Nothobranchius furzeri: one gene and its partner. The protein of the gene in region 1 interacts with the protein of each later gene in a pairwise test. Links are inferred from orthologs where the notes say so. Each region holds a gene or a part of one and is shown in the gene's direction. Other genes may lie near its edges.

Region 1 (3,012 bases):
ATGTCTGAGGCCTAACAGTTATTTAATTATCTTCCAGTGACGGGCACAAAGGTCTTCGTCATGCCTGGTGGGATGATGAAGTGCAACACAAACCTTGTGGAGCTTATTGAAAAGGTCAAGCCAGAGATCAGGACACTCATAGAGAAATGTAACACAGTAAGTCATCCGTGTCTGTCTCTTTCAATGTGTGTCCTTAAATGTCAACCTTACTGGAAAAACATTTTTTAATGATAATTCTTATTATAATTGGTCACTCTGAGATTTTTATGCAGGCGAAACATGAAAATGGTCTCCTACACCTATCTCCTGCATTAGCTTCTGATAGAAAATAGACGGTGAAACTCTAGGATTAGAAAATCCTGACAGATCTACGTCACCCTGTCACTTAACATTCATGGACTCACGACGGGGAAGGCTGTTGTTTTAGAGTCCAGGAAAGGGCAGAGAATGGCTTCGCTAGTAGAAGCTAACTGTTAGCATTAGTAACTCCACCACATTCCAGAACTCCTCCAGGCTTGTGTTATTTGTGGAGATGAAACATCAGTGTTGCTAAACAGAGTCACTGGTAGAATCGCATTGCTGTTAGCCAAAGAGATACGAGATGTCCAAGTATTTGGAAAAAAGACTCCAAATCCTGCTGTGTTCAGCTCCGCTTTGATCTGGCTCACTTCTAGATCCTGAAACAGGCACACTGGAGCTTTTTTTTCTTCAGAGCACAATTTACAAGGCATTCCTGCCTACTAGAGACCACCGCAGATGTATTAAAATATGAGTTAAGTTGATCATTTGTATATGTGTTGGTTTTACATCCTGACTAGCCACACCTCACGTATCACTGATGCTTTGTCACTCAAATTGTTTCTTTTTTCCCCGCAGGTTAAAATGTGGGTTCAGCTCCTCATCCCCAGGATAGAGGATGGCAACAACTTTGGCGTTTCAATCCAGGAGGAGACGGTAGCTGAACTCAGAACAGTCGAAGGAGAGGCTGCGTCTTACCTCGATCAGATTTCAAGGTCTGCAGAGGCTCCAAACATATGGATTTATTTCTAAACAAAGCAAAATGGTGTTGTGTATTTTTACAGTGTCCAAACGTTGTTTGATTCCTCTTTTAATCCTAGATACTACATCACAAGGGCAAAGCTGGTTTCTAAAATAGCCAAATATCCACATGTGGTAAGTAGTTATCTTAGAATGGATTCAGTTTTATTCCAAGTATTGGAAATAGAATTAATGCTAGAATGTTTAAATGTCCTAAACATTTCTCACATCATTTACGTGATTTTGGGTCCATGTCTGACTGTCGTTGAAGGCTTGATGTGATTTAAGCATTTTTTAGTCAAACTGCTGCGCCTTTCCTAACAAAGTGGTTCAAATTAGTTATGTGCCTTTGGACCACCTATAAGGTAGTTAATGTATTAAATATGTTTACCTCAGTGGTGTTGTGTGTTGCTGAAGTAAGTGCAACTCATAAAGGTTATTTTTGTGTGAAATTATTATCGTTATTAATTAAACCCTTTAGATAGCTTTCAGAACAATCTTATTGCTAAACAGGCTATATGACTAATAAGGTTTATGCCAATAGTCCTAAAACTACTCATGTTACAGCAGTTCATGCAAATGTTATTTTACTAATTCCCATACTGTCATCTGTTTTGGGCTACTTTGTTATTTTGGCATTAATTAAAAAATATCCGCCAGACCCAACCCCGTGTGTGCTGGAAGTGCTACATTTAATGCTGATTTAACAGCAATGTTTATAAATGATGTGAAAATTACAAGATTGAGAATAACCTGAAAGTCTGCTTATCTTGTTCCAAGATGCTTACGTGTGTGCAACATGTTTTCTTTCCAAGCTGTTTTTGGGATGAATGAAAAATTTGGCTATTTATACTTTTCATATTTACATATCAAGATTTCTGACCATTATCTATCTTTCATTGTGTTTACAAACCGTTTTTCTCCTTGTAATCAGGAGGACTATCGGCGCACGGTAACAGAAATTGACGAGAAGGAGTACATCAGTCTGAAGATCATAGTTTCGGAGCTCAGAAACCAATATGTGCGTTGTCTTCAATAACAGTCTAGTCATCGTGTATCTTTGTTGTCCTTAAACCTGCTTTTTCTCTCATGAAGGTAACGTTACACGACATGATACTGAAGAACATTGAGAAGATCAAGAGGCCTCGAAGCAGTAATACTGATGCATTGTACTGATGTCGGTCTCTCCTTCCCTGTCATCTCCCTGCTCTTACATGCTGGCAGCAGCCTCACCCCCATCTGCAGGAAAACTAGACATTCACACACTTCAACACACTTCAACACAGTCGACTCAGCCCAGTATGAAAACATAGCTTCATAGATGGACACCTTTTTGTTTTAATTGTAAATGTGTTTTTGTTTTAATTCCTTCAAAAACGTTAAAGTTCTCTCAGAAAATGGGACAGTAAACTATAGGCAACATAAAGCACGATGTATTTTTTAATTTTAATTAAACATCTTGTCTCCAGATCCTTTGTGACATTTCTTCTTTTGTAGCTGATATTTTGTGGAATATGAATTGGTCTCATTGAACCTTTTCTGGATCTGGATGATGCTGGTAAGTTTGACATGAAATTACCGGTAAACAAAAACCTGTTGTTCTCTGAATGTTGTACATTATTACATTGTGTAGGTGTCAGGTCAGACGTTTTAGATTTGTGGGCTTAACGGTTTTCAGTGAAAATGCATAAGTCAGCATTGGTTCTATTGAATAAAACCATTTTTGATACAACGGTTTTTATCTGTTGCTTACCAGACAGACATCTGATCATAGGATGACAAGTAGTTATAATAAATTATTTTTACTAATTATACAGCCACCTATCAGAGGGTTATAGCTCCGCCTCTTCCTGGACTACATCACATTTGTAAAACTAACCTTTATCTTTCATTTTTTTCTACAAGAATATGGTTCACACAGTCATGTTTTCCCCCCACAAACACGGGATGTTTGAATGCCTTTAGTTGTGTGTG
Region 2 (4,304 bases), on another chromosome or scaffold:
GCTGGGTTTTGAAAATTAGCTAAGACTAGTGATGTTTAACAAATTTGCCTTTTTTCAGTGCACTCACAGAGTGTCTTACTTTTGCCTTCCGTTTGCCTGATCTTTTGAAAATCCCTGCACCTTCTGGAATTTTCTGCAGATCTGCCATCAGCTGAGCCAACTGTAAAAATAATAATTCAAAAAAATTCCCTTTTGAAAATCAGCAGTGTAATATAAATAACATGCCAGAGTTACAGCCTTAAAAATCTAAGTATTTTATATGCATTATTATTGTTTTACTTGCTTGATCAGAATGACTTGCCAGCAAAATATATCAAATTAGGTTTCTGGACCCCAGTATCAGGATCAAATAACAAAAAAATCAGTTATCCTCTTTATTGGCTCCTCTAATAGAGGTTTTGAGCTGTTGAGAATGTGGTATCTGTTAAAGTTTTAAGCACTAATTGACCATTATTGGGTTTAAATGCAGTGTTTTTCAAATTACAGATTTCTAATTACTGACTTCCAACTAAAATTTAAATGTTTCTGAGTCACCATTGCTTTGTTAGCCTTGATGTTCTGCTCTCTCTTTAACAGAAAATTATCAAAAACATCTTCGTCTGAATCAGATCCACGCTCCTCAGACAGAGAAGGATGGCCAACTGTTGACTCCTCTTCTTCACGTTTTACAGCTCTGTCCTTTTTAGTTTTACTGGTGTTTCTCAGCCTCTTCACTCCTCTTCTAGTTGTTATTTTCTCACTGTCTTCTGCATCATGACCTGTGGACAGCTGGATGGAAGGCACACAGCGTAATGCAACCCTCAGTCTGAAAGGTGGAAGGCCTGCAGATGTGGTTTTCTGCTGTTCCTTGGGGGACATGTCAAGCTGGACTTCATCGTCATAATCCAAACGCTGTTTGGAAATGTAAAAATTACTTGTTGAGAAAATTTCTAGTAGCTTAACAGAAAAAAAGTTAAAATTCTTGTTGAAATACTGTAAAACAATTAAAAGGGCAGCCGTTCTCTGCCATACATCACACATGTCGACATGACTAATCTAAAATATTTGTTAAAAAATAAAAACGTACCGTATCTACGAATTCAGAGTCAGAAAAGCCATAAAATGTCGCATCATTTTCTGAATCCTCCGTAAACAAGTCAGCTAATTTCCTCATGTCAGAGTTCATTCCAACACCTGTGAATAAACGAGTGAATTATCTTCAGAGGCATTTATGTTCAAACAGTAACTTATAGCGCAAGAAAATGTACTTATTTTACCACTTTATTCATCACTCTACCAACGCAAACTTTTAGCTCAGCCAGGATTTCCCCTCACGTGCGGCGCAGGTTACTTCACTCTTTATGTCAGACAGAAATGTAGGTGAGTGTGCTTTGATGGTTCGGGCTGCACGAAGGGAGGCGGTACGTCGTGTGTGAGGAGTCACATTTAACACCGCCCGCACGGTGTTTGTAGGCTACACAAAAACGGATGTTACCACTTCGCATTGATGAGGAGACCCATCCAATATGGCGGTGACGCTTACGTGGTGACGCTTACGCTCTGCAGCGCCCTACATATTCAGGTCTGTGGCCCCAACATAAAATGCGGAAGTCAAACACGAAACTTCAAGTTCCATACTCAGCAACAGCAGAGGTAAGATCTCTACGTATACTTAGGTATTACTAGTATAGTAAAGATACAAGAACAGTTTGTTTACTTGACAAAACATTATTTACTTTGTCTCATGAGTCAGATCGATGGCATTTTGTTAATTATGTATCTGTTCAGTTGAACATAATCCCTAACCTACCCTAAGGTGTAGGTTATTTGACGTGTTCTCGGTTTTCAGCTTGCGCAGGTACATTTCTTTATATCGCTACAGCAGTCCTACATAAAAAGCGAGGCTGTTTTCTTTCTATTACTTTCACCTTGAAATCTTACTTTGCTGGTGTTCTTATTCTAATCATTATTATTAAACAATTTTTTTTCTTTAAGTAGTTTGAAAAATAAGCACGTATAGTTTTGTGTTTAGTTTTTTTAAAGACATGTTTAAAAACTAATTAAATGAATCAACTATATAATCTGTTTGTTTCTGTAGAACTTTGTGTGAAACCTGATTTCATTTTCTGATCAAATAAACTGAAACTATGTGGCCAAATCAAGGTAAGATATCAGATTTCGCAAGTAACACTCATATTTTTATTTTGCATTTGGATTCTCTTTGCTTCACACCCTTTCTGATCTCAGGCATGAGTTGTGATCTTGTGCTTTTTGTTTCAGGCCCTCCTCCTGTCCAACACAACCCTGCCTTCCCTCCCCCTTACAATTCCATAAACCCGGCTGTTCCTCCACCAGGGACTGTCCTACCGGCACCAAATTCTGTGTACTACCCAGCTGTGGGGCCATATGCAACTCCAGGGGGGGTGGCCTATGTAACTCCTGTACCCAATACTTATCCTATGACTCCAGGTGTATATCCAGTGGCCCCCCCTGGAGGTGTTTATCCTGGTCCTTATCCACATTCACCCAAAGGGGGTCACAACAAAGGTCACCACAAAGGCCAGCACAAAGATCATCATGGTGGGTTGCTTCCCTTGGCTGGAGGTTTAGCTGGAGGAATGGGGCTTGGAATGGCATTGGGTGAACACAAAGCTCATAAGAAGATGAAGAAGCTGAAGAAAGCTCACAAGCATGGACACCACAAACATGGCAAGGTGTGTTCAGATTTTAAGTAAGAATATAAAAAATGAAAATGATCCCTCCTGCTGCTGAAATACTAATACAGAAACAAATGAACCTGCCCAGGTCCTCTTCTTTAGATCAGTCAGTTCAGGAAATACACATTGTCATTAAACAGGGAATGAAAGAATATGTATTTCTAGATCAACGGAACAATGAGATGAAGAGAGTCAAAACTGAAACTATACAACAGCAAGCAGTCAAATAAACAAGTGCTAGTTGCTGGACAGTTATGAAGATATACCAGCTTAAATTAGGCATGACAGATTTGTAGTTTTTTGCACAGAACTATCATAAAAAACAAATACATAAGCAGTACAGCAAATCATGTCATGCATTATTTGTATTCTTTACATTTCCTAATACTGCAAGTAAGGGAACTTATCTAGGTGTTCATACTGTTGCATAAACAACGGTACACAATTTTTCTGAAGGGATTTATGAGTTCAGTGTAGAAGCTATGTGTGTAGTAAAAGTGAAGGGTGTGAAGATTTCCGCAAATGCATAAAAAGATGGATGACTTTATTTTTGACAGCTGTTTGTCTTGACCCTGTGTTTAAATAATCTTGAACAGTTTGCATTCTCTCAGGTTTCTATAATCAGATTACATAGTCACTTAGCAAGGTAATACATTTAGAAAATGGAACTTGACTTAAGTTTGAAATGAATCATTTTGTGCTTTTTGGAAGATTTAGTAGAAATATTAAAAATGGTGTTGGATCTTTGATTTGTCACATGTGAATTATGGTACAATAGTGTTGATTGTATAAATTTCTATTGTTATCCTGCAGTAAAGGTTATCCTCCTCATCTCAAACTATTTTTATTATAATTACTGCATTTATGTATTATAAAATTTGATATTCAATTATTCAGTTTATTAAATTGATTGTACTAAAGTTATCAAAATATTTGTTTACTTTACAGTCATCCAGCAGCAGCAGTGGCAGCAGTGATTCTGACTGAGACCCTTTTGGCTCAACAACACCCTGCAGAATGCAAAATGCTTAAAATACCTTGTCACTTTTAGTTGCAGTATTTTAAGCTTTATTTATGACACTAAAAAGCCTCAGTTTGTAGTTATTCTGTTTTGCAACATTTCTTTTCTCAGTTTATTTCACAGGAGTGATGTATGTGATCCTATTTTATTCTCTAAATGTCTTAACTTTGTGCTTACAACTAAATGTGTCTGCAAAACAGTTATTCTGCTTTGCTCTGAAACTGTTCTATGCAAATACTCTAAAATGTACTGATAAAAGTAGAAAATCTTTTAACCTGTGCAATAAAGTGAATCCAAATAAAGGCAATACTGTGTTTTATCTTTCTCGCATCCATTGTTTTTTAAAGGATTAGAAAAAAATAAGTCAACATCAAATTGTAGTGAGACTCTTTAATACGTATATAAATATAAACATTTATTTCTATTTATGCTACAATTATCACAATTTGAAAATATTTAACACATTGTTGAAAACTAATCTAATCAAGTAAGCTGTAAGAGACTCCTAACATTTTCTTTCTGTTGAGGCATTTTAAATCATTCTAATAGTTTTAATATTTTTTTTTAATAAACTTCTTCAAAAATTA

Evidence for each region.
Region 2: the proteins of psme3 (region 1) and prr13 interact in binary tests that used the Homo sapiens proteins (3 or more experiments, as listed by UniProt). The two-hybrid records come from large-scale screens. The link is inferred for Nothobranchius furzeri from reciprocal best matches to the Homo sapiens genes PSME3 and PRR13.

What each region holds. Positions count from the first base shown.
Region 1 is NC_091756.1:48,472,632-48,475,643, reverse strand, and holds the end of psme3 (proteasome activator complex subunit 3), read left to right. Parts: intron 1-37; coding exon 38-156; intron 157-876; coding exon 877-1,013; intron 1,014-1,118; coding exon 1,119-1,173; intron 1,174-1,972; coding exon 1,973-2,059; intron 2,060-2,133; coding exon 2,134-2,214; 3' UTR 2,215-2,508; downstream 2,509-3,012. UniProt on the Homo sapiens protein: Subunit of the 11S REG-gamma (also called PA28-gamma) proteasome regulator, a doughnut-shaped homoheptamer which associates with the proteasome. 11S REG-gamma activates the trypsin-like catalytic subunit of the proteasome but inhibits the chymotrypsin-like and postglutamyl-preferring (PGPH) subunits.
Region 2 is NC_091743.1:62,074,287-62,078,590, forward strand, and holds prr13 (proline-rich protein 13), read left to right. Parts: upstream 1-1,498; 5' UTR 1,499-1,632; intron 1,633-2,077; 5' UTR 2,078-2,126; coding exon 2,127-2,142; intron 2,143-2,259; coding exon 2,260-2,693; intron 2,694-3,644; coding exon 3,645-3,683; 3' UTR 3,684-4,036; downstream 4,037-4,304. Other genes in the region: cell division cycle-associated protein 7, read right to left, coding at 68-160, 535-891, 1,067-1,165. UniProt on the Homo sapiens protein: Negatively regulates TSP1 expression at the level of transcription. This down-regulation was shown to reduce taxane-induced apoptosis.